Macaca mulatta: one gene and its partners. The protein of the gene in region 1 binds, or shares a complex with, the protein of each later gene. Links are inferred from orthologs where the notes say so. Each region holds a gene or a part of one and is shown in the gene's direction. Other genes may lie near its edges.

What was found.
Region 2: the proteins of ARF1 (region 1) and AP1B1 are in contact, whole or in part, in a cryo-EM structure (PDB 7R4H), measured with the Homo sapiens proteins. The link is inferred for Macaca mulatta from reciprocal best matches to the Homo sapiens genes ARF1 and AP1B1. Residues at the interface, in NP_001019397.1 of Homo sapiens: Glu17, Met18, Tyr35, Ile46, Thr48, Ile49, Gly50, Phe51, Asn52, Val53, Glu54, Thr64, Trp66, Lys73, Leu77, Arg79, His80, Tyr81, Gln83, Asn84; in NP_001118.3 of Homo sapiens: Asn23, Asp25, Pro52, Asp53, Val55, Asn56, Met58, Gln59, Met83, Ile85, Met86, Ala87, Val88, Asn89, Thr90, Val92, Lys93, Tyr121.
Region 3: the proteins of ARF1 (region 1) and IQSEC2 are in contact, whole or in part, in a crystal structure (PDB 6FAE), measured with the Homo sapiens proteins. The link is inferred for Macaca mulatta from reciprocal best matches to the Homo sapiens genes ARF1 and IQSEC2. Residues at the interface, in NP_001019397.1 of Homo sapiens: Arg19, Gly24, Leu25, Asp26, Ala27, Lys30, Thr31, Ile46, Pro47, Thr48, Ile49, Gly50, Phe51, Asn52, Val53, Glu54, Thr55, Thr64, Trp66, Asp67, Val68, Gly69, Gly70, Gln71, Lys73, Ile74, Pro76, Leu77, Trp78, His80; in NP_001104595.1 of Homo sapiens: Arg810, Gln811, Gln841, Arg845, Val846, Gln847, Gly848, Glu849, Ala850, Gln851, Val853, Glu854, Glu858, Asp879, Phe882, Ile883, Phe886, Ala887, Ile889, Leu890, Asn892, Thr893, Asp894, Tyr896, Ser897, Pro898, Ser899, Val900, Arg904, Met906.
Region 4: the proteins of ARF1 (region 1) and AP3B1 are in contact, whole or in part, in a cryo-EM structure (PDB 9C5B), measured with the Homo sapiens proteins. The link is inferred for Macaca mulatta from reciprocal best matches to the Homo sapiens genes ARF1 and AP3B1. Residues at the interface, in NP_001019397.1 of Homo sapiens: Glu17, Arg19, Tyr35, Ile46, Pro47, Thr48, Ile49, Gly50, Phe51, Asn52, Val53, Glu54, Lys73, Ile74, Leu77, His80, Tyr81, Asn84; in NP_003655.3 of Homo sapiens: Glu52, Asn54, Pro81, Val84, Lys85, Val87, Ala88, Asp111, Leu112, Leu114, Leu115, Ile117, Ser118, Thr119, Gln121, Arg122.

Annotation. Positions count from the first base shown.
Region 1 is NC_133406.1:85,833,248-85,841,274, forward strand, and holds the start of ARF1 (ADP-ribosylation factor 1), read left to right. Parts: upstream 1-2,812; 5' UTR 2,813-2,853; exon of another isoform or gene 2,854-2,938; intron 2,939-3,014; exon of another isoform or gene 3,015-3,533; coding exon of another isoform or gene 3,534-3,595; intron 3,596-8,027. UniProt on the Homo sapiens protein: Small GTPase involved in protein trafficking between different compartments. Modulates vesicle budding and uncoating within the Golgi complex. In its GTP-bound form, triggers the recruitment of coatomer proteins to the Golgi membrane.
Region 2 is NC_133415.1:22,213,903-22,221,260, forward strand, and holds part of AP1B1 (AP-1 complex subunit beta-1), read left to right. Parts: intron 1-752; coding exon 753-851; intron 852-1,360; coding exon 1,361-1,620; intron 1,621-2,266; coding exon 2,267-2,468; coding exon of another isoform or gene 2,469-2,495; intron 2,496-3,363; coding exon of another isoform or gene 3,364-3,384; intron 3,385-3,998; coding exon 3,999-4,142; intron 4,143-7,358. UniProt on the Homo sapiens protein: Subunit of clathrin-associated adaptor protein complex 1 that plays a role in protein sorting in the late-Golgi/trans-Golgi network (TGN) and/or endosomes.
Region 3 is NC_133426.1:53,078,722-53,086,079, reverse strand, and holds part of IQSEC2 (IQ motif and SEC7 domain-containing protein 2), read left to right. Parts: intron 1-785; coding exon 786-911; intron 912-3,426; coding exon 3,427-3,526; intron 3,527-4,415; coding exon 4,416-4,577; coding exon of another isoform or gene 4,578-4,585; exon of another isoform or gene 4,586-5,077; intron 5,078-6,198; coding exon 6,199-6,372; intron 6,373-6,863; coding exon 6,864-6,913; intron 6,914-7,358. UniProt on the Homo sapiens protein: Is a guanine nucleotide exchange factor for the ARF GTP-binding proteins.
Region 4 is NC_133411.1:84,583,794-84,591,151, reverse strand, and holds part of AP3B1 (AP-3 complex subunit beta-1), read left to right. Parts: intron 1-4,479; coding exon 4,480-4,575; intron 4,576-5,190; coding exon 5,191-5,351; intron 5,352-7,358. UniProt on the Homo sapiens protein: Subunit of non-clathrin- and clathrin-associated adaptor protein complex 3 (AP-3) that plays a role in protein sorting in the late-Golgi/trans-Golgi network (TGN) and/or endosomes.

The DNA of each region.
Region 1 (8,027 bases):
TGCCGCACACTTCATAGTCCTGCACTCAGAGGTTGACCAAAGTGCCTGCCAGGCCTGAGGTGGGCTGGGGTCCCCTTCACCTAGCCACAATGGCTGCCTACTAGGTCTCCAACATGGGTATTCCCGCTTCTTTGCTCCAGACAGCTCATCTGTCCCTCTAGCCGCATTCCCTAGGAGGCCAGCCCGTTCCGTTGTTTGGCATCCGTGTCTCTGACCTGGTTCTCAGGTGCAGCCACCCCCAGAAGAGAGAAGCCCAGCCCCACCTGAGCTGGCATCTTTGAGACTGACAGCGGAGGCAGCCACAAAGGCTGGAGGGTCCCTGTCCAGCCTGGCCCCCAATGCCCTCCCTCTAGCCAGCTCATCCCACCCCTCTTGGCTAAACCTCATCTGATCCCAGGGACCTCAGAGTAGAGAGAAAGGGATCCCTACTCCCTAGGCAGTGTTGGGAGAGCACCAGGGCCTCAATTTCCCCAGGAAATCACTGCCTGACACTTCTTAGCTCCCTAGTGGGTCTCCTTCCAGGGGCAGAAATCTGGGTGTGACTACCTGGGCTCCCCTGCGCCTGTCTGGCTTGAAGACATCACTTTTGTCCTGGTGGTGGTGGGGAGGCCAAACCAGGAGCACAGAATCAGCGGAAAGGGACTTTTTAAAAAATTATTATTATTTGCAGACAGGGTCTCACTCTGCCACCCAGGCTGGAGTGCAGTGGCAGAGTCCTAGGTCACTGTAACCTTGAACTTCTGGGCCCAAGCGATCCTCCCACCTCAGCCTCCCAAGTAGCTGGAACTACAGGTGTGTGTCACCATACCTGGCTATCTTTGTAAAATTTTTGTAGAGATGGGGTCTCATCATGTTGCCCAGGCTGGGGAAGGTACATTTCTTAACCCTAGGGCTGTGTATACAGAAATCCATTTTATTACTTTTTAAACTGTGCATGTATCTGACATACACTCTTTCCTGTCTGCATTTTTTCACATTTAAAATAAAATATTTTAAAGGGGCCAGGCACGGGGGCTCACACCTGTAATCCCAGCACTTTGGGAGGCCAAGGCGGGTGGATCACCTGAGATCAGGAGTTCGAGACCAGCCATGGCCAACATGGTGAAACCCTGTCTCCACTAAAAATACAAAAATTAGTTGGGCGTAGGGGCAGGCGCCTGCAATCCCAGCTACTTGGGAGGCTGAGGCAGCAGAATTGCTTGAACCCAGGAGGCGGAGATTGCAGTGAGCCAAGATTGTGTCACTGCACTCCAGTATGGGCGACAGAGCAAGATTCCATCTCAAAAAAAGAAAAAAAAAAATAGAGTATTTTAAAGGAAGGGGAAGCAGGCTCTGGTTCCCACACAATCCCCACTCAGTGACACTGGAGCCACCCCTGGCCATGCTCTGCCATCAGAGAACCAAAGCCAGGTCCCTTCAGCCCTAAAGTGGCCATAACCACATGTATCCCCCATGAAATGTCCGAGCATGGTCCAGTTCTGGCTGAGCGGGAGAGGCAGCACAATCAGAAGGCTCCACAGGCATCCACACCCCTCCCTGGGGCTTTCCAAGAGTATCTGAGATGCCTGTAGGGTGGGAGGGAGACATCCTTCCCCTAAACAGACAACCTGCCGCAGCTTCACAGAGGTGAGATTTCAGAGGGGAGCCCCAGGCAGAAAAAGGGACTGAATTTGGGGGCAGGAGGGTCACCACTTCTGGGGTCCTTCGAAGCCCCCGCAGGTGCAGCCCTGGGGGAGAACTCCGACTATCGCAGCCTGCAGTGGCAGTGAGGATGCCCTGCCCAAGGGGCAAGCAAGGTAGGTGATGGCGGCAGCAAAGGGGCGCAGGAGGCCTGGGCCAGGCCCAGTGACCCCACCCCTCAGGCCCTGCCCCCGGGCCTCCCCCTGGACAAATCAGGTTGATTCCCGACCTCCAGAATACCCAGAGAACTGTGCTGCACGGACGCTCTCCCACAAGCCCAATCCCTCACAGCTGCACAAGGGAAGAGGCAAGAAGACCTGAGGGTGGTGGGCAGAGCCAGGCCTCTGTTCCCTTCTGACCAATCCAGGAGGGCTTCCTGGGAGCGGGGTCTCCTCCGCCTCAACTGGATCTCAGCTGAAAGGCCAGCTCATTAGAGACCGCTGTGACCTCCCTTCTGGGCACCACCCCCACAGCCCCGGCCTCCCCCCGGGGTCCCCAGGCCACCTCCTCCTTTGCTTCATCTGTAGCCAACTCCCCGGCATGAGCCCAGGCATGAGCCCGCGCGAGTCACTGCGGCCGCCGGGGCGCCGAGGCCAGTGCGGGGACATAGCAGGCCTCCCTCCTTCGGACCTTCCGCCGAGGCCCCGCGAGTGCCACAGGTTTCCACAGGGCCGGGGCACACGGACCCGCGCAGCCTGGGAGCCAGGGACCCCAATCCCAGCGAAGGGGCGCCTCGCACCCCAGTCCTCACGCGGTCCCCGAGGGCTCGCGGTGACTGCCGGGTCGGGGAGGAGGAGGGTGGCAACCCGGCCCCGCCGCTCCAGTTGCTGCAGCAGCCCCCCGGGCCTCAGTCTCCGAATCTGCCAAACGGGCGTGTGGCAGCCACAAGGTGTCTTTTCGGAAGACTCACAGGCGCAGGCGCAGACGGGTGCGCACCCCTAAGGCGCGCGCGAGCTAGGACCTCGGCCCGGGGCTGGGTGTCCCCGGCCCCGCCCCCTGCAGCCCTTCTGGAGCCAGCGCGCCTGCGTCGCGGGCGCACGGGGGGCGGAGCTCCCGGCGTCTCCGCCTCTTACCCGACGTTCCCCGCGCCCGCAGGCGCTGACGTGGCCGCCGTCAGAGCCGCCATCTTGTGGGAGCGAAACCAACGCCTGGCTCGAAGCAGCAGCTTCTGAGGTGAGGGCGAGGGGCGCGGGTCGGTGTGGGCCGCACACAAGTTGGAGCCGGCGGGGTCTGGGGACTGGCCTCGGGGCGACTTGAGGTTCGCGAAGGGCACCTCGATCCCGGCGGCGGCGGCGGCGACAGGGCCGGGCCGGGGGCGGACGAGGACGGGCCGGGCTGAGGCTGGGGAGTCGGGGCTGGGAGGGCGGGCGGGTCGGTGAGCTCCTCGCGCCCCTCACAGGTTCCCGGAGTCGCCCGCGGCCCCTTGTCCTCCTCTGCCAGTCCCTGCCCCCGCCCGTCGCCCGGAAGTCAGCCGGGACGCCAGGCTCTTCTCCAGGAAACCTGGGCTTCCTGCTTCCCTCACCTCTGCCCCTCACGTTTCCCGAGGCCGCCCGCGCGTGGAGGGTTGGGGTTAGCGGTCTCGGGGGCCGGTGGGGGTTGTGGGGCCTCCTCCACCCGAGTACAGGCTAGCGAGCGGCATCCGGGCGGACCGCTGCCTCGGGGACCGGGAAACTGAGGCTCAGGCGGCCCCAAGACACCGTCAAGGTCACGTAGGTGGTGGGGGCTTGCACCTTCGCCTCCCGACTCCATCCAGTTCGTGTTTCTTCTGAGGAAGGCACTGGGTCAGGGGCGGTGAGAGCGAGCGGGCGGGCAGTGGACAGGGACCCTGCGCCTTTCCCTGTCTGCTGAACGGAATGCGTGGACCTCCGGGGAAGCCCAGAGTGCCTCCCTTCACAACAGTGAGACGCGATTTGGGGTCAGTATGAAGTCTCCGGTGGCTTCCAGAGGGCCGGTCGATGTTCGCTTTAACTCCAGGGTGGTTTCCTTGACGTTGTCGGCAGTAGATAAGAAGGCCTCTTTTGAGCTGGTGAATCTTTAACTTGCCTGCGGAACGACCTGCTCGTAGACTCTAGGCCGCAGAGGCCGGCCCCAGCGCTCTCTCGGGGCACAGCCTGGGTGGTTACGGCTTGTGAGATTGGGTCTGTACAGCCGTGCGCACCTAGAGTGTTAGATAACCATTCCGACGGCACTTCCTGGCGGACTCCCTTTCCGTCCAGGCAGCCAGTTGCTGCTTTGCAGGAATTGAGCAGAAATGCGCTCGGAATCGCGGGCAGAAAAAGAAGGGAGGTCGGAGTCTTTGGATGGTCCCCGAAGTCGCCGCCTAGTTTAGAGCTGTAGAGTTGGTGCCACTGCCCCTATTGGAGTGGGCAGTTGTATTTCTTGTTTCAGAACTAGTGGTCAGCAGTTTTCTCTGCCGCCGGTTGTTGCAAGGCTGGTGGTTCTGGCGTTTTCCGCAGTGTGTTGGGAGGAGTGTGAGATGCCGAGGTGCGGTTGTGTGCGGCCCCTGTGGCCCTCTGCTTTTGCGTTAGCCATTGTCTAACACGTGTGACTGCATGGATGATGTCCTCATTTAATTTGAATTTTCACCAGCACTACCAAGGTAGCCAGAACCATAAGGTCCTGAAATGCCGTACTATTAGCTGGGTCCAAAATTGAGAAGAATTGAGTAGTATAAATGTTAGTATACACATCTGATTGGCCACATTGTTAGAGGTGTGTTGTCCACGTTTTCACATGTTGGTAGACCGGAGAATATCTGTCACTTGTCTTTAGGTGTATCTTGTTGAAAATAAATCCAAATCATTGCAGCAGTAGGAATATGCTGTTGCCTGTCAGGCAGTTTTTCAGATTTGCTAGTTGAAAAAGATTTGAAACAGTTGGTTTGGACAACAGCTGAGTCACAGAATGACTGTGAGTGAAAAGCAAAAACTGGTTCTGTGCCCCTCACAGTTCTGATTTTGTACATCATGTAGTCTAGCTATGCGCTGTACCTCTTGCACAATATGGAGAGGACATTCAGACATCTTCACCTGCTCATCTGCCCCTACAGACTGGACAGGCTTGAAACTATAGCTTCGAAGATGCATTTGGCCTTTCATTTTTCACTTCAGTAAAATTTAATATGGACTGTCAGCTGCTGCAGTGATCATAGAAGTAGACCTAACTAAGAGAAAAAAACCTGTTGTGCAAGTTCACACGCAAAGTATATGACTGTGGTTTCAGAGAGTTGAAGCAGTTTTTTCTAGATTCTTCAAATTAAATGTCTCATTGGTGTATTTAAACCAGCTCTTACTCACAGGCCATGCTCACCAAGCTTTTGTACACACTTCTTCCTGAGCTGTGACCATTCTCTTGAGCAAGAGGCTGCAGCCAGCCTGGGCTGGCAGGCCCATACTGTCTCTCATAGGCATTCTGTCCTCTCCCCCTGACCTTTCACCTCGGTAAACTCAAGAGGGTGAAAGGAAGTAGAGTGCACTGTCAGAGGTAATTGGGAGAGAAACAGGAAAAGGCCTTGCAGTGGGGATCTTAAATTATGAGAACTTGTGTTTTCTGTGTTGTGCCTGCTCCTCATTGGTGTGGTTGGTTGGTAGGGGTATCCTGCCTGTAGCATCTGAAGTGGTCTTTTGGAAAAGGTTTAGCCCCTTCATGTTGGGATTCCAGGATTTGCCTTCATCCTCAGGTTCGTATTTTCCTGTGGTTGTTATAAACTCTTTAAGGCATAGTTGCACTTATCACCTTACAGCTGTGCAGGTGCCCAGCACCGTCTTGGAAGGTAGTTTCACATTCTCAGGTGGGTCAGATGACCTTGTTAGCAACTTGACAGACATGTCCTGGATGTTTTTTGTTCCCAAGAGGCTCTCAGGTCCTCCCCCAGGGTCCTGTCACTCAACCATCTACAGGGATGAGAAGACAGTAAGGCTGGCTGATTAGCCATAATGTCCTTGACTAATCCTGGTTTCCTGGTTCTCACACAGTGGTAACAAGGGCTTGCAGCCGGTTGTCAGCCAACAGACTGGGAAAGGTGGTGCTTCTTACAGGCCCTGATAACAGGAAAAGCCTAAATGACATCAAGAGAAGAGACAGGGAAAGCATAAAAGGCAGATTTTCACAGGCACAGCAATTGAGAATGATTCTGTTTAGAAGGCAGACGTTCTCCCACACCCCGGAGGCCCAGGGCTCACTGTTAGTGTACAGCATGAAGTGAACGGGAGACTTGATTCAGTCCATGAACATTTCAGGAAGTTAGAAGTCTGTAGTTGTGGATTGCAAAATACATATCTGGCCTGCCTCCCATTTCCTGCCATACAACTACTAAAATACTTGGAATCTCCAAAGTGATGATGTCTTTTTGTACCCTAATGAGTTGACCAGTGACGGGCAGCCCCTACGAAACTTCAGGGTAGGGCTAGTCACGGGGCCAAGGTAGGATTAGAGGGTTTCAGCCCCACCCTCCAATTTCCCCAGAGTGGAGAGGGACTGAAGATTGAGCTGGTCACCAGTAGCCAATAATTTAATCAATCACACTAATATCATGAAGCCACACTTTTGCCTTCAGTAGTTAACAGCATCTACAGCCCCGTGTTTCCACATTTGTACAAAGGAATGTTCAGACTGAACCACACTTAAGTACAATTCTGAAATAGCATGAAATTCCTTGTTGATGGGAAATACCCAAAAGGCCTGCCTGGGCTTTCAGAGAGCTTCCAGAAAGCTGAATTCATGGAGGTTCCTGGAGGGTGGCACGCCCAGGAGGGCAAGGTAGCTCCGTGTCTCTTCCCTCATACCCCACCCTATGCATCTCTCCATCTGTATCCTTTGTAATATCCTTTATGAAAAACCAGTAAACTTTAGTGTTTTTCTGAGTTCTGTGAGCCACTCTAGCAAATTAATTGAACCCAAGGGGAAGGAGTTATGGGAACCCTGATTTATAGATGGTTGTCCAGAAGCACAGGTAAAATAACCTGGAGCTTGTGATTGCCTCCAGGTGGACAGTGTCAGGATTGAACTGAATTAAAGGACACCTATCCGGTGTCTGCTGCAGAACGCAGAACTGGTTGCTTACTTGGCATGTGTGGAGAAACCCCTGCTCATGTGGTGTGAGAAGCGACCTGTGTTATAAGAGTGTGTGAGAAACTGAGTTTGGGTTTTCCTGTGTCCTCAAAATAGTGTGTTTTGAAAATCTTCTAGGCAGAATGTATTAAAATAGTTTTTACTCCCTGAAGGGATGCCAGCAAGCTAGAAAGATTCATTTCCAAAGGACTTCCAGTGGTAGCATGGCTAGATATGAGACATCTTTCCATTTGTGTCACACAGCAAGTTATTTTTGCAGTACCATATACACTATACGGGAAACTTTTAAGTATTTTATAGGTTTGATTTAGGTATAAATGGTCAAGAGGACTATTGCTAGATATCATCTAGACTTATCCTGAGGATTGGGAATGCAGGCGGTTAGATGTGCCTGTGCTTCGTACCTTCTGTAGATGGGAATGCAGTTGCTCACTCACTAATCAAATTTATTGATTTATATTTAAAATACTATGAATACATCTGGCAGTTTTGGTGGTGACATATTCCTTAAAATATTTGTATTAACCAGGCACTGTGGCTCACACCTGTGTAGTGCAATCTACTTGGGAGGCTGAGGCAGGAGAGTGGATCACTTGAGCCTAGGAGGTCAAGGTTGCAGTGAGCTGTGATCATATCACTGCACTCCAGCTTGAGTAACAGAGCAAGAATCTTAGCTCTTAAAAAAAAAAAAAAAAAAAAAATGTATACCTACTCACCAGCTGAGGACCTGGGGGCAGGTTTAGAAAACAGATTTTGAACATGCATCCCTCTTGTGGTGTCTGACATCACTGAGCTGCCACACTTTTTTGCCTTCAGCATCTTCAACCCCATTTTTCCACATTTTTACAGTCAAATGAATGTTCAGACTAACCCACACGTGAGTACAGTTTTTAAACAGCATGAAATTCCTTGTTGACATGATAGGTTTTTCGTGACAAACTTAATTTTTAGGGAAAGCACATCTGCAGATGTATACAGTTGATCTTCATGAGCCCTAGGGGCCTGATAAACATTCCTTTGCCATTGTTTTCTCCTCTCCTTGGTGGTGAGTCACTTGTGCAGTGCCCGGCGGAAGAGGGTGGGAGGCTGGGGAGGAAGGCCTGTTCTGGGCAAAGGAAGCCCTACTTGATGAGCATGAGGCTCCACGGGGGCAGGGGCTGTGACAGTGAGTGCCACACAGAGCCACCCACACTGGTGGAGGGAAGGCAGGGAGATACCAGGACCATCCGGAAGGGGCTAAGTGTCATTTGACAGGTGCCATGTGAGCAGAGAAGTGG
Region 2 (7,358 bases), on another chromosome or scaffold:
GCAAGTATTTCTTAAGTGCCTGCTCTACACCAGGCACTAGATTGGGCAGTAATTAGTGACACGACAGTAAGCAAGACAGACATCTCTCCAGCCCACAGGGAGCTCACTGCACAGGACAGCCAGCAACTGGTGGTGCTGTGAGGGGATGGAAGAGGCTGCAGAAGCATGGGGGGTCTGAAGGTGGGGTTGGCATGAGATCTGAAGGGTAAGGATGGTTGGCCAGGATGAGGGCAGCTTTGGGTATGTCCAGGTATGCAGCAGGGGCCAGTGGAGGGCCACCAGGAATGGTTCCCACCCTCTGGTAGAAGCACAGGTTCTTGATGGCAGGCTCTGTGGGCCCTGCTGCCCCAGTCCCCTGGGACTCCATGGGACTGTCGCCACTTGTTGACAGGTAGTCCCAATAAGAAGCATACCAGCCACACGTGAGCTTCTCATAGTCCTGTGAAGTCTAGAGCTCCAACAGGTTTCTAGAACCCTAGGGCTGGGCAGCGGCCCCTGGCCTGCTTGGGTTTGCTGAATAGTCCAGTGCTCAGCTCCTTCCTGAGTGAGTGATGCCAAAGTCTGGCTGCTCAGCGGCACCAACACCTGTGGTGGCCCTTTGCGTGTGTGCCGTGACAGCCCCAAACCTAGAAGAGCTGTGTTTGGCTTCCAGGGACTTTGAACACCCTTTTCCTCTTCAAGCCTTTTTAGTCTCCCGCTGTCCCCATGTAAGGCCCACCTTCCTCCTCGCCACCGCTGTTCCCTCCCTGCAGGTCCAGCTGCAGCTGCTGACAGGCATTGTGAAACTCTTTCTGAAGAAGCCAACAGAGACCCAGGAGCTGGTGCAGCAGGTCCTCAGTTTGGCCACTCAGGTGGGTGCCCCAACCGCCCCACTGTGCCCAGCACAACCCTCACTCAAGCAGGGGAACTTTTGTCCCAGGAACTAGACCTGGAAGCCAGGCCCACTCCTGAGACAGGTATCCTGTGGGTGGGACTGGCTTCCAGCCCCAGAGTAACCCAAGCTCCCTGCCTTCAGGGAGCTTAGAACACAAAGTGCAGTGAGGTCAAGTAGTGAAGTTGAGACAAACTAGACAGAGGAGGAGAGCCTGCGGAAGCCTGAGGGTGTGCGTTGGGGGCAGGAAGGGCAGGCCACAGTGGCCAGTTGGGAGTAGAGACAGGCACAGCCAGGCTGGAGTAGAGCACCATGGAGAATGAGCCCGGTGCCGGGGTATGGCCCTGTAGGTGGTGTAGGGACAGGCTCATGGGAGTGCTGTCCCCATTGGCCAGCCCTGTGCCACACCTGGCTCATGGCTACAGGAAAACCTCCTCCCTTCTCACCTGGCTGCTCTAAGTTTCACGGGCTTCTCCTCACCCCCACAAGGACTCAGATAACCCGGACCTGCGGGACCGTGGCTACATCTACTGGCGCTTGCTTTCCACGGACCCGGTGGCAGCCAAGGAGGTGGTGTTGGCTGAGAAGCCACTCATCTCTGAAGAGACGGACCTCATCGAGCCCACACTGCTGGACGAGCTTATCTGCTACATCGGCACACTGGCCTCTGTCTACCATAAGCCTCCCAGTGCCTTTGTGGAGGGGGGCCGGGGCGTCGTGCACAAGAGCCTACCACCCCGCACGGCCTCGTGAGTGAGACTGGCCAGTAGGCCTGAGCCTCCACACCTGCTTTCCCAGTTCAGCAGCACAGGCACTCAGGCCTGGTGTGTTGTCCCCTGGCAAGGCCTGAGTCTGAGGAAAACTGACAACCTTTTCTCAGCTATTTATTATACATGAGGTATTTGCTAGATGACCTCATTCCATCCTAACAACAGCTCTGAGAGCAAATGTCCCCATTCTTCAGGTGGGAACAAGAGACAAGGAGAGCTTGAGGGACTGGTCCAGGATCTCACAACTAGCAGAGCTGGGACTCAGACCGGTTCTGTCTCATTCCAGAGCCCTGTCTGTGCCTCCTCCTCTGCTTTTCCCAGGTGGTTGGTGTGACCTGGTGGCACCATCCTAGGGCACTGGCTTCCAGTTTTCTCCTTGGCATGGGCTGAGGGCTAGAAGCAGGCGGCCCTCTCCCTTCACTCATCCTCACAGAGGGCCTGAAAGATGGACCTGCTGTGGGAATGGGGAAGCAGTGGGGCCGTGTGGACAGCGCTGTTGGGGACAGGGAGGAGACTCAGTGCCTGTCCTGAGGGAGGCACCTGGAGGTTGGGGTCTCTTTGACCTTCCTGAGACATCCTGATGCCTCCGCCCTACTGACCTTCTCTCTCTCCTGTGTCCCGGCAGGAGTGAGAGCGCAGAGAGCCCTGAGACAGCTCCTGCCGGAGCACCTCCTGGGGAGCAGCCAGATGTCATCCCCGCCCAGGGCGACCTGCTGGGTGACCTCCTCAACCTGGACCTCGGCCCCCCAGTGAGCGGCCCACCCCTGACCACCTCCTCAGTGCAGATGGGAGCTGTGGACCTTCTTGGCGGTGGCCTTGACAGCCTGGTATGTCATGGGTGCCCTCTGGATGATGTTGATAATGATCCTCAGAGGAGCAGTCACTGAACGCCCCTCCATGCCAGGCACCAGCTGAGTGCCTCAGGTACATTATATTGAGCTCTTACCATTTACCCTCGGAGGTGATTGTGTAGCTCCCTACTTATGATGAGAAAACCAAGGTTTAGAGAGGCCAGGCAGCCTTCCCTCCAAGGTCGCACAGCCCCTGAGTGGCAGACAGGATTCCACTCCCTTGTTGGACCTTCGAGTCCCAGGAGATCCTGGGCAGGGAGGCCCATCCTAGCCCTTGCCCTGATCCTGGCATCATAGTCACCTTTGCCCTGTTAGGCTAGGGTGTTCCTAGCTTTGAGGAATCAGACTTGTGTCCACTTAGCTTCATGCTGCCCCAGCTGGGAACAGAAGCCCAGCCAGGCCTATTTGAGAGGGCATAGGAGGCCGGGGAGAGAGGGGAATGGGAAGACAGTAGGGAGGGGAGTGGTGAGACTAACGTGGGTATCTCCCTGGGGCTTCCTCAGGCAACTGGCAGGGCCAGGTGCTGGGGGTGGCTGAGCCTCTTCATTTGACTGTGCTCGACTCAGGTCCGCACGGTGGCAGCATGGGGGCAGGAGACTGGCAATTAGCGCTGCTAGGGTGAGGCAGGAAGGGCTGTGGTGCAGAACGGGTGCTGGGGTAAATGTGTGGGGTAGTGCCTTTCATAGAGACAGGGTCTGGGCCTCTCATAGGCCCCGACACAGCCTCACACCACTCTCCTCTCAGATGGAGCTACTGTTAACTAATCTCCTCCCTCTTTCCCTTCTCTCTCTTGTTCCTCTGTCTTCCTTCCTGGCTTTTTCTCTCTGCATGTGGCTGCCTGTTCTCTTCACCTGCCTGCTTCTGCTTGGAGATGGGGGATGAGCCTGAAGGGGTATGGTTCAACCCTTGCGTCACCCAGCCTTCATCCTTGCTCCTCCCGAAAGCGCTGGCCCAGCATCCCAAGGGGCGGGTGATGTCAAAGCAGCCCCCGCCGGCTGAGCCCCTGCCTTGGTCCCGCGTCCTGGCAGTCTCTGTCTTGACCAGCTGGCATTCGGCTACCACTAGGCCCCATAGCCATGGATTCTTGCCCAGTCCTCACCACCCCATGACGCATCACCTTGTCATCCCAGGGATTGCCAGCCCTCAGTCCCACAACCCCTCTCTAATGTCCTGGAGGGAGAGCACCCGTCTGCATAGCAGGTCTCCACCCAGCCGTGTGTCTTGGGACCTCCTTTTATCCATGGGCTGAGTGTCAATTTGGGAGTGTCCCCAGCCCTTTCCCAGAGGTTACTTCTAAGGCTCAAGGCTTACAGGGCACGGGAGGGCTCAGCCTCTCTACTCCACCCACCTCTCTCTGTCTTGTTTCTGTAATTTCGAGTTGATATGGAGGCTGTCCTGCCCCCCACCCCCAGTGTATTCTAAAGAGCCAGGTGGCTCTACTCATTCCCAGCCCTTGATGTCCTTGCCTCTTGATGCCTGCCTCTGACTCTTTCCCTCCCTTTCCAGATTGGGGGCACCAATTTCGTGGCACCTCCAACAGCAGCAGTACCAGCCAGTCTTGGAGCACCCATCGGCAGTGGCCTGAGTGACCTCTTTGACCTAACCAGTGGCGTGGGCACCCTGTCAGGATCATATGTAGCCCCCAAAGCAGTAAGTCACTTGTCTTCTCTCTTGGCAGGAGCAGAGAGAAGTTATAGAGATTGGCATGTGGGCTCCTTTAAATGGCCTCGGCTGTGGAATTGGCTCAGGCCAGCGCTGATGAGGGAAGCTGGGGGCCACGGGGGCACCGAGGAAAAGGAGCTAAGTCAGGCTTGGTGGATGCCTAGGCAGGCTTTCCGGAGGAGTCGCAGGACCTCATTAGCTGAACAGAAGCGGGTAGGGGCTCCAGACCAAGGGAACAGCCTGTGGTAAGGCCTGGAGGGAAGGGAGACCCTGGCCTCTGTCAGGGAATCAGCAGAGGCCTGTCAGGTGGGAGCAGTAGTTCTCAGTGCCATCAGACCCAGCACCCCTTAGTCATCATCGACATTTTACATTGTCACTGTTCCTCTCCTTAAATGCAATTGGTGGGCTGTGTAACCTACCTACACACAGCATTCCAAAAATACTCAGATGCTTTCACTGCATGGAGGAGACATAAAAGGAAGAGAATACAAGTGTATGTATCAATGTTATAAGCGTCTGGGCACGCCTGCCCACTCACCCCGGAAGATATGAAGTTGCCAGGTGTTTGCTGCAGGGCAAAGTCACTGTGACTGTGGCAACCACAGTCTGGGTGTTTGTAGCCTGGACCCCATGAGTGGTTTGGCCAGTGGTGCCATTTGTTTCTGAAGTGGTCGCTGACTCCCACTAAGGTTCGGAGTAAGATAAACAACAGGCTTCCCTTGATTTTCCTGAGAATTGTGTTCCTGGAAGTCTCAGGATATGTTGAAACCATGCAGAAAATACTGGAAGGATGCAGGACAGTTGCTTGTTGTGGGGTGGTTGTCCCCATGGTAGGACGTCCAGCATCCCTGACTCCAGCCCACTATGTTATGCCACCTGAAGATGCCCACTGTGCCACCTAGGGCACACCCCCAAGACTCCTGGCTAGACTAGGGATCAGCAAAGGAAGAAGCTGGCAAGGCTGGTGGGCCAGGCTGAGCGTTTCTTCTTGATCCTGGCACAGCCGGAGGCTTTGGAAAGGTTTAAGCAAAGATATGAACCAGTCTGATTTGCACTTGAGAAAGATGGCTGCGTGTGCAGGGAAGGGGTGGGGCAGAAGCACCGGCCCCAGGGGATTCTGCAGCAGGGAGGAGGAGTGCTGTGGCAGCTGGACCACGAGGGCTCTTGTGGGTGGAAGCAGTGGCCAGACTTGAGAGCTCCCTGGGAGGGAGGAGCGGGGCTGAGGGAAGGAGAGCTGAGTTCAGGGTGTGAGAACATGCGGGCTGGCACTGAGGAGAGCTCAGGGTGGGCCATGTTGTCAGTGTCAAGGAAGTTGCCAGAGGGGACCAACCTGGCCTGATCCCCTCACCACACTCAGAAGTTGTGTTTGCCAGAGCCCCCCTCTCTCTTCTGAGGTCTCCGCCCCAAAACAGGATACAGTTGGGGGTCGGGGCAGTGACAGCTCTGTCATGACTAGGGAGCCATGAGCCCCCACCTCCCTACCCCCTGAGCTGGCTTTCCCCACCATATGCCAGCTGCACCTGCAGTGGTGGTGACTGGAGGCCCTGGCAGGGTCTGGGCACTGAGAGGTCCACAGCAGATAGCAGCTCTGACACTAGTAGCCACACACTTCCTTGCAGGGATGGCACAGCATTCCACAGCCACTGCCAGCACGTCCTCCTCCCAGCAGCCCTTTGTGGCTCTTCCTCCTATTTCGTGGTTGAGAAATCCAAGTGCTTTTGCCTAAGGTCACATAGCTGGTGACAGAGTCTGGAAGTGAAAGCAAGTGACACTAAAGCCTCTGCTCCAGACCCCTACATGATGGTGGCCCCACAGAGTGTGAGAACAACCTGTGCCCCTGCCTTCATGCGTGGGGTGTCAGGACCAGCAGGGCCAAGGGAACGTAGGATCGTGGCATAGCGTACAGCATGTGCGGTTGACTTACTACCTGGATTGGCTGCACCAAGGCATGAGGCCAGAAGCCCAATATCACAGGCACACAAAGCAGGACTAAGGGACAGAGAACAGCAAAGACTCCTGTAACCCTGTGCGTGCCAGCCTTTGCCAGGCACTGCAGAGCTGCCAGGAAAAGAAAGCCTGGAGCTGGCACTAGGCTTGTGAGTTCATCATATATATATATATATATTTATTTATATTTTTTCAAGACAGAGTTTTGCTCTTGTCACCCAGGCAGGAGTGCCATGGTGCAATCTCAGCTCACTGCAACCTCTGCCTCCGGGGTTCAAGTGATTCTCCTGCCTCAGCCTCCCGAGTAACTGGGATTACAGGTGCCCGCCACCATGCCTGGCTAAGTTTTTGTATTTTTAGTAGAGACGAGGTTTCACCCTGTTGGCCAGGCTGGTCTTGAACTCCTGACCTCAGGTGATCCACCTGCCTCGGCCTCCCAAAGTGCTGGGATTACAGGTGTGAGCCACGGTGCCCAGCCATGTGTTTGTCTTACCAGTGTTATCCCTGCTTTGTCTTCCTGAAGGGTCAGATGAGTGTATCCAGCAGAGCGTGCTGGAAAGGAGAGGGGAGGGGATCTCCTAGTCAGGAGTCATCAGGCCAGGCTACCTGGAGGAGGAGTTTTTCTGCCCCAGGCAGGACTTTCCCCACTGCCTCAGTCATGGGAGAGTTCTAAGGTGTGGGTGCCCTCTCCCTTCAGAATCAGTTGGTAGGTATCCACATCTTCCTAACAGTGCTGTGGCCACCTGGAATTGTTCATTCCTCACGCATTTCCACACCCTGCCTAGGGGGTTAAAGACATTGGCCAGGTCAGGCGCGGTGGCTCATGCCTGTAATCCCAGCACTTTAGGAGGCTGAGGTGGGCGGATCACGAGGTCAGGAGATCGAGACCATCCTGGCTAACACGGTGAAACCCCATCTCTACTAAAAATGCAAAAATTAGCCGGGCATGATGGCAGGTGCCTGTAGTCCCAGGTACTGGGGAGGCTGAGGCAGGAGAATCTCGTGAACCCGGCAGGCGGAGCTTACAGTGAGCCAAGATGGTACCACTGCACTCCAGCCTGGGTGACAGAGCGAGACTCTGTCTCAAAAAAAAAAAAAAAAAGACTTTGGCCAACCCTGCTGGTCTAAGGGAATGAGGCTGTCTGTGTATAAGAACTTTTGAGTTCCTCACCATTTGGCTCAGCTGGTGGTGACAGTTCATTGGTTCATCCAGTAAAGACTGAAGATTATTCTGTTAGGACCTGTGTGAGACACCAT
Region 3 (7,358 bases), on another chromosome or scaffold:
GATGCCTTTCCACTGAGCCCAGCATTTTACTGGGCACCAGAGTTGGTGCTGGGCATTCATATATATGAATCAGACCGTGGTCTCTGTCCTTGGGGGCACTCACAGACCAGTTGGGGTGTGAGACAAAGACACATATAATACTTCTGCCTTATGGTCCAGTTTAGGAGAGGAGAAAGGAGAAAGAGGCCGTTTTCAGCCTGGAGAAATCAGGGAAGGCTTCTTGGAAGAGATAATTTGGGGATTGAATTTTTTTTTTTTTTTGAGATGGAGTTTCACTCTGTCACTCAGGCAGGAGTGCAGTGGCATGATCTTGGCTCATTGCAACCTCCACCACCTGGGTTCAAACGATTCTCCTGCCTCAGCCTACTGAGTATCTGGGATCGCAGGCGCCAACCATCATACCCAGCTAATTTTTGTGTTTTTAGTAGAGACGGGGTTTCATCATGTTGGCCAGGCTGGTCTCGAACCCCTGACCTCAGGTGATCCGCTCACCTCGGCCTCCCAAAGTGCTGGGATTACAGGCGTGAGCCATCATGCCTGGCTGGGATGGAAATTTGAAGGGGAGTTGAAATATGACCATGCAGAGCTGGACAAGAAAGATATTCCAGACAGAGGGACAAAGGCAAGGTAGAAGAAAAGTTTAGGCCTTAGTCGCTGATACCCCTTGTGTCAGAGTGATACACATGTATGAGAGGTAAACTTTTTTGCGGTTGAAACTTAAGGTGCCAGGAGGCCTGAAGCTGCGGGCTGGCCTTGCTGACACCTGTTTCTCCATGCCTGTCTAGGTCCTGTCTCTCCCTCACCGTCGACTGGTTTGCTGCTGCCAGCTCTACGAGGTGCCAGATCCAAACCGCCCCCAGAGGCTAGGGTTGCATCAGCGAGAGGTCTTCCTCTTCAATGATCTCCTTGTGGTATGAGCACTGTGGGGGAGGAGATGGAAGGGGGATAGTGAGGTTGACACCTGAGTCTGGTGTGAGCCATGTTGATGTTGGTGTGTGGTGTGGTGTGTGGAGTGTCGCAGGCGAGGTGTTCTGCCATGCCATCCGCATGGCCTCAGGCAAGGCCCAGGCCTTCTCTGCCCCTCCTTTTCCTCGCAGATTCATTTGGAGATAGTAACAGACGCACAGGGACAGAATATATGAGGACCAAAGGGATGACAGACTTACAACCTGGGAAGTGGTAGGAAATACCCTTGTCCACCTCAGTAGCCCATAGGGTTGTGTGAAGAGGGGTGAACCTGTGACCCCCAGGTCAGTCTAGAAATCTTCAGTAATCAAGATGCTTGTAGTGGGCCGGGCACCATGGCTCACGCCTACAGTCCCAGAGCTTTGGGAGGCCAAGGCAGTTTGAATCACTTGAGCCCAGGAGTTTTGAGACCAGCTTGGGCAACATGTCGAAACCCTGTCTCCACAAAAAATACGAAAATTAGCCAGGCATGGTGGTGTGTACCTGTTGTGTGTAGTCCCAGCTACTTGGGAGGCTGAGTCAGGAGGATCACTTGAGCCCGGGAGGCAGGGGTTGCAGTGTGCTGTGATTGTACCACTGCATTCCAACCTGGGCAACAGAGCCAGATCCTGTCTCAAAAAATTAAATAAATAAATAAATAAATACACAAATAATAAAAACAAAATTTGAAAAAGATGCTTGGGCCAGGCACGGTGGCTCATGCCTGTAATCCCAACGCTTTAGGAGGCCGAGGCGGGTGGATCACCTGAGGTCAGGAGTTCGAGACCAGCCTGGCCAACATGGAGAAACCTCGTCTCTACTAAAAATATAAAAAATTAGCTGGGCATAGTGGTTCGTGCCTGTAGTCCCAGCCACTGGGGAGGCTGAGGCAGGAGAATCGCTTGAACCCAGGAGGCGGAAGTTGCAGTGAGCTGAGATCTCTCCATTGCACTCCAGCCTGGGCGACAAGTGAAACTCTGTCTAAAAAAAAGAAAAAAAAAAAAAAAGATGCTTGAAGTGATTCTTAAAACTGAGCTCATTACAAATAGAGATGTTTGTCTTTTAGGGATGGGACTCTTAGGACTTTGCTGGTTGGAAGGGACTTTCAGAGTCCAGCTTCCTAGATGGCCCACTGGATGTATGACTGTGGGGACAGAAAGCCGCCTTCCTCTAAGGCAGCCAGTTGCCTTGTTAGGCAGCTCTGACTGCTAGAATCTGTCTCCCTGTGGGTTTCTTCCAACCATCTGCACTTAACCTTTGGCATCACAAAGAACAAGTGTTGTCCTTCTGCTCCAAGACAACTCGCCAGGGTTTGGAGGACAGTGATCCTGTTCCCACGGTGGTCTCTCCTTTAGAGCAGGGTTTCTCAGTCTCATCACTGTTGATATTTGAGGCTGGATAATTCTTTGCAGGGACCGTCCTGTGCACTGTAGGATGTTTAGCAGCACCCTGGTCTCTACCTATTAGGTGCTAGTAGCAACCCTTCGACCAAAAATGTCTCCAGATATTGCTCCATGTCCTCTGGGGGCAATATCACCCCCAGTTGAGGATTGCTGCTTTAGCGGAAGTATTTTCATGCTCCCTCTGAGCCTTAGTTTCCTCCTCTGTGAAATGGAGCTAACCCCTACCTCACAGGGTTGTTATGAGGATGAAATGAAAGAAGAGGTTATATGTGGAATCTGCCTTACCCCAAGGAGTACCTGGCCCACACAGTCAATGTGTAGACATCCCTCAGGTACTGAAACTGGTGTGCGTCCAGCTGTATGCCAGGCACTGGGTATGCCAGGATGAATCAGAATTAGTCCCTGTTCTCAGGGAGCTCACAGCCCAAAGGACCTAAAAAAGTGCTTTGCGTCATCATGCCATCCTGAAATCAAAACATTTCCTTTTATGAGCCACTTGCAGACCGCCTGAGGTGTTTGCAACCTGTGTTAGTTGAGTCCAGAGTGCCCAAGTACTCGACAAAGACGTTGGGTTGTTGAGAGGAAGACTTGTTAACTCTCTACATGGGTTCAGCAGAGATTGCCATTAAGTGCAGGCTCTGGTGAGGCCCGGTGACAGAACCCGACAACCAGACTCCTGCCTTCCAGTCCAGCAGGGGGTGATCACACACTCAGAGGACTAGCATAGCGCCTGACAAGGGAAAGGTACTGAATCATCATTCTGGAGCTCAGAAAAGGGGTTTACAAATCTCTGTGGGATGTTGGAGCAGGCTTCCTGGAGGGAGCAGGATTCAGTTAGTTCCTGGAAATGTGGTAAATGTCTGTGGTGCGTGGTCATTACATCAGGAACTTGCGTTTTCTTCCATGTCTCCCATTCTGTCCCTCAAGCTTCCATTCTCCCCAGCTTGTGGGCATGTGTATTTGTGTGTGTATGTCTGTTAATGGGGTGGGAGGGGAGGGTGGTTACCAGAAATAGGTGCCACGTGGAAATTCCCCACCCAAAACGCTGCCTCTTGTCTTTTTCCCACCCCTGCCAAAGGTCACCAAAATTTTCCAGAAGAAGAAGATCTTGGTGACGTACAGTTTCCGTCAGTCTTTCCCCCTCGTGGAAATGCACATGCAGCTCTTCCAGAATTCATGTGAGTCCCTTCTTGGATCCCAGCTCCCAAGAGTCTATGTCATGGCCCCCATGCTCACCCGTCATCTCTACCAGCTCCAGTTTTCGGAGTCCCTTACAACCAGGCTAAGGGTCTCCGAAGCACCTACTTGGTCCCAGGATGAGGGGCAGGCCAGGGTGGAGTATGACTCGGGTCTAGCCCCTGGTTAGCTCATAGTCTTGCAGAGAACCCCAGTGCATGTGTTCTCTGGTGGGCCAAAGAGATGGTGATCACGCTGTGCTCTAAAGGATGAACCAGGAGGAGCTTTGTTTCATGGTACTCTGGGCAGCAGTAGCAATGTGAGTTGAGGTAGAGGTGAGAAGGAAAGAGTTTCAAGACAGCAGTGCAGAGTTGTATGCCTTTACATCCTGCAGTACAGGAAGTAAGGGGGCCACAGCTACCAGGAGTTTGAGGGCTTTGGGGCAAAGGGGAGCTGCTAAATATGCTCAAATGGAGAAGAGGCATGATCAGAGTTAGACAGCAGAAAAATTATTTCATGGGCTAGGTATGGCGGCTCACACCTGTAATCCCAGCACTTTGGGAGGCCAAGGCAGGAGGATCGCTTGAGCCCAGGAATTCGTGACCAACCTGGGCAATATAGTAAGACCCCATCTCTACTGAAAATAAAAAAATTATCTGCACATATGGTGCGTGCCCATGGTCCCAGCTACTCAGGAGGCTTGAGGCAGAAGGATCACTTGAGCCCAGGAGTTCAAGGCCGCAGTGAGCCATAATGACACCAGTGCACTCCAGCCTGGGTGACAGAGAGATGTTATCTCAGGAAAAAAAGAACAGAAAAGAAAAATTATTTTAGGTATGAGCCACCTCCACCAATCCCAACAGAGGTGCCCAGTCTCCCCTTTCTCCACAGATTACCAGTTTGGGATCAAGTTGCTGTCTGCAGTACCTGGTGGGGAGCGAAAAGTCCTCATCATCTTCAATGCCCCCAGCCTCCAGGACCGGCTGCGCTTTACATCCGACCTGCGCGAATCCATTGCGGAGGTGCAGGAGATGGAGAAATACCGTGTGGAGTGTGAGTAGCCCAGCCACGTCTCCTCCCCCATCTCCTGAAACAGTACCCTGCAGAAACCAAGAATCCTATCCTCTGAGAATCTCAGAGTTGAGGGTTAGCTTGTCCAACCTTCCCATGCTCATTTCAAGAATTCTTCAGCCTCTGCTTGAATACCTTCAGTGACAAGGGGCTCATTACCTCCCAGCCCCATTATTATCCCAAACTCTAATTATGAGCCAACTATTCCTTCTAGTGAAAGGTATCAGGGAGAAGAATCAGAGTATTAGAGGTAGGACTGTAGTTTTAGGTCCCAGGTATGCTATTCGTTATCTGGGTGAACTGGAGCTAATTGCCTAACCCGCCTAGCCCCAGTTTCTTCCTACACGAATTTGGGGTAATGAAGTCTCCTTCACGGAGTCAAGGAGATGAAATGAGACAAGGTAGCCGAAATGTCCCAACACATCTTAGGCATTCAAAAAGTCTGTATTCCCTGTCCCACTCTCTCTCCTCCTCTGCCCACATATCAATTCCTGAGCTGAGTCCCAGTGGCCTATCCTCTCCAGGGGCCACACCAAGTCATTTTGATCATATATATATAATGGAAAATAGTGATTACATCTCATTCCTCCCGATGCCCTCCAAGTTTTCTCTTCTCCAGGCTAAGCAGTCACAGTTAAGTAACATGGTGTTAAGGAGAAAGAGGCAGGCAGACAGAAAAAGAGAGACGAGGCGGCGGACAGCTCCTTGGTGAGGCCTTCACAGCTCCAGGGCCACTCTACTCCTCAGCGAGGCAGGGATAGAAGTTTCAGTTCACCAGATCCTTTGAGACCCTGGGAAAATCCCGAGAGAGGGATTAGCAGCCCAAGACGAGGGGAGGCCAGTAGACACATGTTTCTGTGAGCTCTGTGGGGAGGTGGGGCTGTAAGGAGGCCGGAAGCACCCCAGCTCTGGATGTCGGCTCCGCCATTTCCAGCTGTATGACCCTGGGCAAGCTCTAAGACTTCTCGGATTCTCAGTTTCCTCCTCTGCACAATGTGGATGCTAATACTGACCTCAGAACTGTTGTGAGGATTGAGAGAGATCAAGTATGTGTAGCACCCAGCATACTGCCTGGCACTTAATAGAGGATTTGATTCCTGTCAGTTTCCTGCTCCTGCCCTTCCAGGAGCCCCTCTGCTCTGGAGCAAGGTATCTGAGAACTGACTGGACTCTGGAAAGATTGCCCTTTGCCATAGGCTAGAAGGGCCTTCCCGTCCTTACTGTGAACCATCTGCCATGAAGCTCTTTTTTGAAGGGCAGGGGTGCTTTGAGAGACCTGACTGCAAGAGGGCATGGGAGGGGAGAAGTCATAAGAGTGAAGGGAAGGGAAATGGAACAGGGAGAGCAGGCACCAAGAGGGATGAAGGGAAGGCTGAGCAGGAAGGGAGGGTGCAAGACGGGAGCTGGGCACTAAGGGTACTTCGGTGATGGAGCTGCAGTTTTGGGGGAGACAAGGGCTGGTCGTCCAAGGGGCAAAACAGGAAGCCTGGGGACAGAGGGAGGGAGGAGGGAGGAGGAAGGAGGACGGAGGGCTAGGGTCAGTCAGATGGGCTCTCACTCCTGTTCCTGACCTTTGCTCCCTGTCTCCCCGACTGCCACCCAGCGGAGCTGGAGAAGCAGAAAGGTATGATGCGGCCTAACGCCTCACAGCCTGGAGGGGCCAAGGACTCAGTGAATGGGACGATGGCCCGCAGTAGCCTGGAGGACACTTACGGGGCAGGCGATGGGCTCAAACGGGGCGCACTCAGCAGTTCCCTGCGAGACCTCTCTGATGCAGGTAAGCCCTCTGGGCCCCTGCCCTGGCTGGGGAGACACGGGACCAGGTGTCCTCTTTGCCTCCTGTCACTGGCCACCAGCCTTCCCTCCACCTGCCACACACACACGCACCCTGCCTTCACCCAGAGTCCTGGGCGCTGCGCCACAGGGGGCCTGGGAGCCAGGTCAGAGCAGGGGGAGCCCAGCGTTTGGGCCAGGGCATGTGAAGTGGGGCCACAGTCTTGGTGCCTCTCTCTTGCTGCTCCACCTCTCCTCCTCTTCTCCCTCTTCTGTCTCTCCTATACCTCCACTCCTCCTTCTCCATCTTTTCCTCCTCTCTCTCCTCCTTCTCCACCTCTCCTCCTCCCCACCTCCCCCTCTTCAATGGGGGAAAGGGATAATGGGGTGTCTGTCCCCGGGAGGGGCCCAGGCCTGGTGCCCAGCTCTGGAGCCCAGCAGGGTAGGGAGGGGGGGTTGCTGCTCTGACGCTGGGCTCCTTGCTTGTGGGTGCAGGGAAGCGGGGGCGGCGTAACAGCGTGGGATCGCTGGACAGCACCATCGAAGTAAGTGCCAGCTCCTGCCCCACTCGTCCTCTGCATGAGCCCTGCCCCGGCCATGGAGACCCAGAGGAGGAGGGGACCTGTTGCTCCCCCCTTCCCTGCTGAGAACCGTGCGGCTGCCTCTCCCAGCCAACCACTCTCTCCATCTGTCCTCAACTCTGTCTGTCCTCATTCTGCCTGTCTCTCAGCCTGTCTTCCACTCTCCCGTGCCCCCTCTCAACCCCAGGGCCGACGGCGAGTAGGGATGCCCTTGGAGTTGGGCCACGAGAAGCTCTTACCTCCAAGTCCTGCTCTTTGACCCTGGGCGAGTCACTCTGCCTCTCTGGGCCTAACCTTTTCCCTGCCTGCAAAATGGGGATGAGGAGGAGGTACTGCTAATTTCTCCTCTCCCAGCTGAGGCTCAGATGAGATAGTGGATGTGACAGCCGAGCTTTGCAAGCTGGGGAGC
Region 4 (7,358 bases), on another chromosome or scaffold:
TGATTGGCACTCAGAGGTGGGTGTATGGGAGTGCAGTTGTTCCTGACTGGCTAACTTTCACAAGCAAGAGGCTGTCACAGATTGGTTGACTTGAGAAAACTTGTTCATTCAGGTGCCTTTTTATTGCTCTGTTGAACAGGTTTAAAACAGTTGTGGCTACATGTTGCCAAGGCTACAGAAAAATGCGTCTCTCTGAGGAATGTGGGAACTTAAAAATATTACCAATTTGAAATTTTTTTATAATTAAAGAATTTAAAGTATTATAAGAATCACAGCACTATTATTTTGTTTTGAAGGCCATCTGGAAAGATGAGATTCACCCCTGTTGTGAAATACCTATATTATTTTATCTGAACCCAAAGTAATTAATATTCCTTTTAACATAGTATGGAAAGATGTAAAGAGTGAAAGTCACTGGTTAATACCATCGCACAGAGATAGTGACTATTAACATTTTATTGTATAGATTTCTGAATTTTGTGCTTACTTGGCTTGAATCTTAGCTCTTCTATTTAATAGATACAGTACTTTGGTCAACTTGCTTACCCTGTCTGTGTTTCATTTTCTTATCTGTAAAGTAAGAATAAATACTTGTTTGTTGAGTTGTGAGGATAAAATGAGTTAATTTAAGTAAGACATTTAGAACAGTGTCTGACATGTAGTTAATGCTACATATAAGGATTTGCTATTATTACTATATTATGTCCATTCTAAGACATATGTTTGCTATTTTAAAGTTTCTGCAGTTGGGATTTAACTTAACAACTGGTGGTGATTACGATAGGTGGTGTTTTCTGTTCGTTTGTTGTTGTTCTTTCCTTTGTGGCCCATAACATAATGGTATGTTTTACAACTGGTGGTCTATCTTAGACTGCATAAAATACAGTATGTGGGCATCTATTTTTTTTAATACAGAAGTGAGATCATACAATGCATACTGTTTTACACCTTTAAAAAATTTTAGGCCAGGTGCGGTGGCTCACACCTATAATCCCAGCACTTTGGGAGGCTGAGGCAGGTGGATCACCTGAGGTCAGGAGTTCAAGACCAGCCTGGCCAAATTGTTGAAACCCCATCTCTACTAAGAATACAAAAGTTAGCTGGGCGTGTTGGTGCGTGCCTGTAATCCCAGCTACTCGGGAAGCTGAGGCAGGAGAATTGCGAATTGCTTGAACCTGGGAGGCGGAGGTTGCGGTGAGCCCTGAGATTGCGCCACTGTACTCCAGCCTTGGTGACAGAGCGAGACTCTGTCTTTAAAAAAAAAAAAAGCCTTTTTCAAGGATGTATTTTCCTTTCTTTCCTTTTCTTTTTTTCAGATGGTGCCTTGCTTTGTCACCCAGGCTGGGGTGCAGTGGCGTGATCTTGGCTTGCTGCAACCTCCGCCTCCCGGGTTCCAATGATTCTCCTGCCTCGGCCTTCCGAGTAGCTGGGATTACAGGCATGGGCCAGTATGCCCAGCTAAGTTTTTTGTATTTTTAGTAGAGATGGGGTTTCACCATGTTGGCCATGCTGGCCTCCAACTCCTGACCTCAGGTGATCCACACATCTCAGCCTCCCAAAGTGCTGGGATTACAGGTGTGATCCACCGTGCCTGGCCACAAGGACATATTTTCAATGTCCTACAGATTTATTTAATTTTGTATAGTGGATGAATAGTATAGTGTTACATGGATGAACTGTCATTTGTTTACTGTTCGTCTACTAGGACTCTTTATTGTTTAATTTTTGCTCTCGTGGAAGATTTTAGTAAGTGGAACCTGGGGACGCGGGATAACTTAGGATAACCTGAGTGGAGATTGAGAGAAAAGTGCAAGTTATATTTGGGGCTGTTTCTGTTTGACTATAAAAGGAGGTTTCGAACAGATTATAAACTGTATTGAGTACTAGGTTAAGAGCTTTAGATTTTGTTTTAAGGTTTTGTGGAGCCATTCAACATTGAAGAGTAATTGGCAAAAAGATTTTCATTTCCTTTATAACTCAGTCCATATAGTATAGATGAATGGATTGATATAAACTTAAAATGGTTGTGTTTAACATTTTTATCAACGATGAAGATGTACAAAGTTTGTTTTCTCATTAAGTTTTCATTTGTACTTATGAATTGAGAAATAGGTTGGATTATGAAATTATCATATCAAATTATCTTAACAGGGTGCCAAGATGCGTTGAATCTAAATCGTTGACAATTTCTTTAGATAAATGGAAGATTTTGCCTTTCATTTAAAGGAATTTTTAAAAAATTCCATGAGGATAGTTTGATTTTGATTTGGTCAGCAGTACATTTGGAAAAGGTGTATGGTTTTAATGAAGAATTAGTTGTATCGGTGGAAGTACCTCATCTGGAGCAAGTTCTTGTCTAGTTCGCTCTGTTTAGACTTTATTTGCAGTTTATAGTGCCACGCTGAAAAAAATTGGAGTGAGTTTAGGAAGGAGCAAACAGGATGGCAGAGGAACTTAAAGCTGTTATGTTTCATGAGAAATTAGGGTACAAGGAAGGAAGGTCATGACAGTTGTCTCTAAAGTAGTCCAGATTGATCAGTATGACTCGAAATACGATCCAGTATAGTACTGTTTTTATATTTCCAGCACCAATTCCAGCGATCGCCAACTTTTTTCCTCATTTCCTGTGTTCTTTGAGTATATAAATTAAAAAAAAAATTTTTTTTTTTAATTTTTAAAATTTTTGAGACAGAGTCTCTGTCTAGTCGCCCAGGCTGGAGTGCAGTGGCACAATCCTGCCTCACTGTAGCTTTGACCTCCCGGGCTCAGGTGACTCTTCCATCTCAGCCTCCCAAGTATCTGGGACTACAGGCACATGCCACCATGCCTGGCTAATTTTTTTTTTTTTTTAACTAGAGATGGGATTTCACCATGTTGCCCAGGCTGGTCTTGAAGTCCTGGACTCAGGCAGTCTGCCTGCCTCAGCGTCCCAAAGTGCTGGGATTACAGGCGTGAGCCACTGTGCCTGGCTAAGTACATACCTTTTAGGTATATACTATGCTGGTATCTTTGAAGGATAATCAGGGATGTGAAGATATTTGAGAAGGTAGATACAGGTTATAAATAGTGCTAGAAGGAAACAATGGATACATTTCAACTCAAATTCTAGTTTTTGTTTTTTTCTGTTCATAATTTTGTGTAAACTCAGTGATTAAATTGCCTGTAAAAATTGTTTTCAAGACTGGGCACAATGGCTCATGCCTGTAACCCCTGTGCTTTGAGAGGCTGAGGTGGGAGGACCAGTTAAACCCAGGAGTTCGAGACCAGCCTGGGTAGGCAACACAGGGAGACCCTGTCTCTATAAAATACTAAAAAAAAATCTGGGTGTGGTGATGCAACCCTGTAGTTCCAGTTACTGGAGAGGCTGAGGTGGGAGGATGGCATGAGGCCAGGAGGTTCAGGCTGCAGTGAGCCGTGATTGTGCTATTGCACTGTACCCTGTGCGACAAAGCAAGACAGTGTCTCAGAAAAAAAAAAAAACCAAAAAACTGTTTTCAGAACACATCCAATATTTCTGAATTTTTATTACGTTAAATTGGTATTAATAGTCACACATTATTCTTACTGGACTGAAAATATCATGTAATGCATGTTGAAATGTGAGTATTAACATAAAAATCAGAGTTAGGGCTCTGGACTCTTTTAACAGATGAGGAAACAAGTTCCCGTAACATATAGTTAGTGGTCGGGGCCTAAATTCTTTCTTATTATTTTTTAAAGAGCTAGGGTCTCTCTATGTTGCCCAGGATGGCCTCTAAGTCCTGGGCTCAAGTGATCCTCCTGCCTCGGCCTCCTGCATAGCTGGGACTACAAGCGTGCACACCATGCCTAGCTTCTTTCTTTTATTTTCATCCCTCATTTTGAAAATATTTATACAATTTAGTTAATATTCTTTTTTTTTTTTTTTGAGACGGAATCTCGCTCTGTCGCCCAGGCTGGGGGTGCAGTGGCCAGATCTCAGCTCACTGCAAGCTCCGCCTCCCGGGTTTACACCATTCTCCTGCCTCAGCCTCCCGAGCAGCTGGGACTACAGGCGCCCGCCACCTCACCTGGCTAGTTTTTTGTATTTTTTAGTAGAGACGGGGTTTCACCGTGTTAGCCAGGATGGTCTCGATCTCCTGACCTCGTGATCCGCCCGTCTCGGCCTCCCAAAGTGCTGGGATTACAGGCTTGAGCCACCGCACCCGGCCTAGTTAATATTCTTATAGGAGATCTGCTGAGGGATTTTTTATTCCCTTCAAGAGGAAGGGGCACTTTTATAGGCTATTGCTATTGTGGACTGGACTGTTAAAATGATTACTTTAAAGACTTTTTCTGTTGCTACTTATTATCCCACAAAATATTATTTTTATTTTACAATCTAAGATGTGACCAGATTCAGTTATTTACGTGAGAAAAACTGAGCATGGATTTTGGTATAGCAAATACTGAGTTTTAAATTTTCACTCTGGCTACAAATAAATGATTGTTTTTTAACAGATCAAGAAGTTGGTATATGTTTACCTGGTTCGATATGCTGAAGAACAGCAGGATCTTGCCCTCCTGTCCATAAGCACTTTTCAGCGAGCTCTGAAGGTAAATAATGGAGTGGGTAGGCAAATAGCTACAAGGTTTCTGCAGAGTTGAAAGTGTGTCATTTAAAGAAGTGGAGCAATAATCCACTAAATAGCACAGTAGTGTCTTGAAAGAGTTAAAGGCCTCCTATAGTGCCTACTCAATACACTTAGAAAATAATTTATACAACCAACTGAAACCTTGCTGTATATGTTGCAGCTTCTGTATGTTTGTTTATATTCAATATAATTATTTTCATGCTTCAAAGAACTGTTTATCATTATACTAGTTTTTGAAAGTGTGCGAAGGGGGTTATCAGACATTTTTAAACATGAAATTGATGACCTGCAGCATTTTATTATTATTTAAGTATAAAAACCCAGCATATTTAGTAATAAATGACCAACGAGAATTATAACTATTACTTTTATTTAAAACATTATTAAAGAAGTAAACATTTATTTATTTCTGTCTCTTTTTCCCCTTCCCATATACTAGTTGTTCATTTTAAATTAAGTAGCTTTCTTTTGCTATTGTTCTATAACACCCTTTAAGCACCTATTAACTACATCTTAAAGATGTCTTTGAAATATTGTAAAGTTGAAAATTTGGTGAATATTTTTGCACTGTTTTTAGGACCCAAACCAACTAATTCGTGCAAGTGCTTTGAGAGTTCTGTCAAGTATTAGAGTGCCAATTATTGTACCTATCATGATGCTTGCTATTAAGGAAGCTTCTGCTGACTTATCACCATATGTTAGGAAGAATGCAGCCCATGCAATACAAAAATTATACAGGTAGGTGCATTGTTAACAATATACAAAGGATCTCTAATGTTACATGGAATGTTGTAGACCACAGAGGCTTATTTTAGTAGCTCTTTTAGCTAGCCCATTCTTATACTAAGTAAATCCAGTGACCGTATGATGGTATTTTCCCGGCTGCAAACGTTCCTTACACATCTTTAATTTTGTTTTGGCTGTAGAGATGCTATGCAGGTTTTTATTTGTGAGGCTGTTAGAGCCTGTGATAATTTATAGATTTTACAACTTAAGAATAATCAGAATTTGAATTCTCATCTGTATAGTCTATCTCATGTACACATATGCTTGTATTATTAGAAAATTGAGATTTTGTTTTTCCTGTTTACGGTAGAATCTTAAGCGTGTGATCCTCTCAACTCACTTATATTTGTTTTCCCTTCTATTGTTGTTCCTGCTGCTCCCTTCCTTGTCTAATTCTTTTCCAGAGCTATTTTATTAAGTAATTTAAAAAAGTGTAGTGATTTGAAATATAGTGCTATACCATATCTGTGTGATATTTTAGAAATGTTATGCAATATTGCACAATGCCGTGATCTCTGTGGAAAATTTACTGTCCAAATAGAATTATCTACAACAATTTGGTATTATTTTCGGCTGTCATTTATTCCTCAAGCTTTTTGAGACTCTCTTCTGTTTCTGATGTTGTATTCACAGTATCATGCTAGGTGTATTTAGATGTATGAAAACAGTAGAGGATGTGGCACTTACTTATGAATAGCATATCATGTATTTGCGGAAGAAAATCAAAGACATGCCATAATTAAAGGCAATCTATAACTGAATAAGATATTAGCACTTGATACATATGTATATACAAAGGTACACTAGCAATGTCTTTGATAGGACAGGGACCTATCATATTTTGTTACCAGAAAGTAAAGATGTAATGAGATGGGTGTGGTAGTGAAATACTGCTTTGAGAAGGAAGACTTAAGCTGAAATTTGAAAGAATTAAAAAGTTTGTCCAGATAATTATAATGCTTAATAATAAATATATGTGTTTGTAAAAAGTGAAAACTTTTTTTCCTGTGTTAACTGTCAGACAAAGTTGTTTTTTTTTTTTTTTTTTTTTTGAGACGGAGTCTCGCTCTGCCGCCCAGGCTGAAGTGCAGTGGCCGGATCTCAGCTCACTGCAAGCTCCGCCTCCCGGGTTCCCGCCATTCTCCTGCCTCAGCCTCCCGAGTAGGTGGGACTACAGGCGCCCGCCACCGCGCCCGGCTAGTTTTTTGTATTTTTTAGTAGAGACGGGGTTTCACTGTGTTAGCCAGGATGGTCTTGATCTCCTGACCTCGTGATCCGCCCGTCTCGGCCTCCCAAAGTGCTGGGATTACAGGCTTGAGCCACCGCGCCCGGCCTCAGACAAAGTTTTATCATGCTTCTCACTCACCTTTTCTCCTTATAAACTTATGGGATAAGATGCATGCTCACTGTAATGATTTAGAAGTCCTATCACTGGGCTTCAGTATATTTCAGCCTCAATGCTTGCCTCTCCTTGCCTTGAGCTTATGGTCTGTTAGTATTCTATCTCAAATGTTTTAATCTTATTACTACCTCTTATTTTTCTTAGTTTTAGTTGGCAGATATGCATGTCTCTATCAGTGAACTAGTATTATATAAAATTCTTATTTGGAAATTCTCCATATTTGTTTTTGGCAAGTATGTATCCATAGTAAAATAATGACTGCTGTCTTGTTATTTTTTTCCTCCCATTTGAAAAAAGAGTTTGTGGTTTTATCTACTTAGTTACTTTCTTGAAAGTTTCCAACTCTTTTAGAAGTGAACTTATTCTTTCAGTACTTTCTTAACTAAACCATTGATATCTGGTTTAGTTCATATGAACAATATTAGAGGGAAAGATTAGGACACATTCATGAGAAAAACCATCCCATTTTACGTTGTTTTTTCTTTATTTCTAACTTATAATAATTCTTGCTCTCCTTTCCCTCTTTAAAAGTTTCTCAACATCCTTGAATTGGTGAG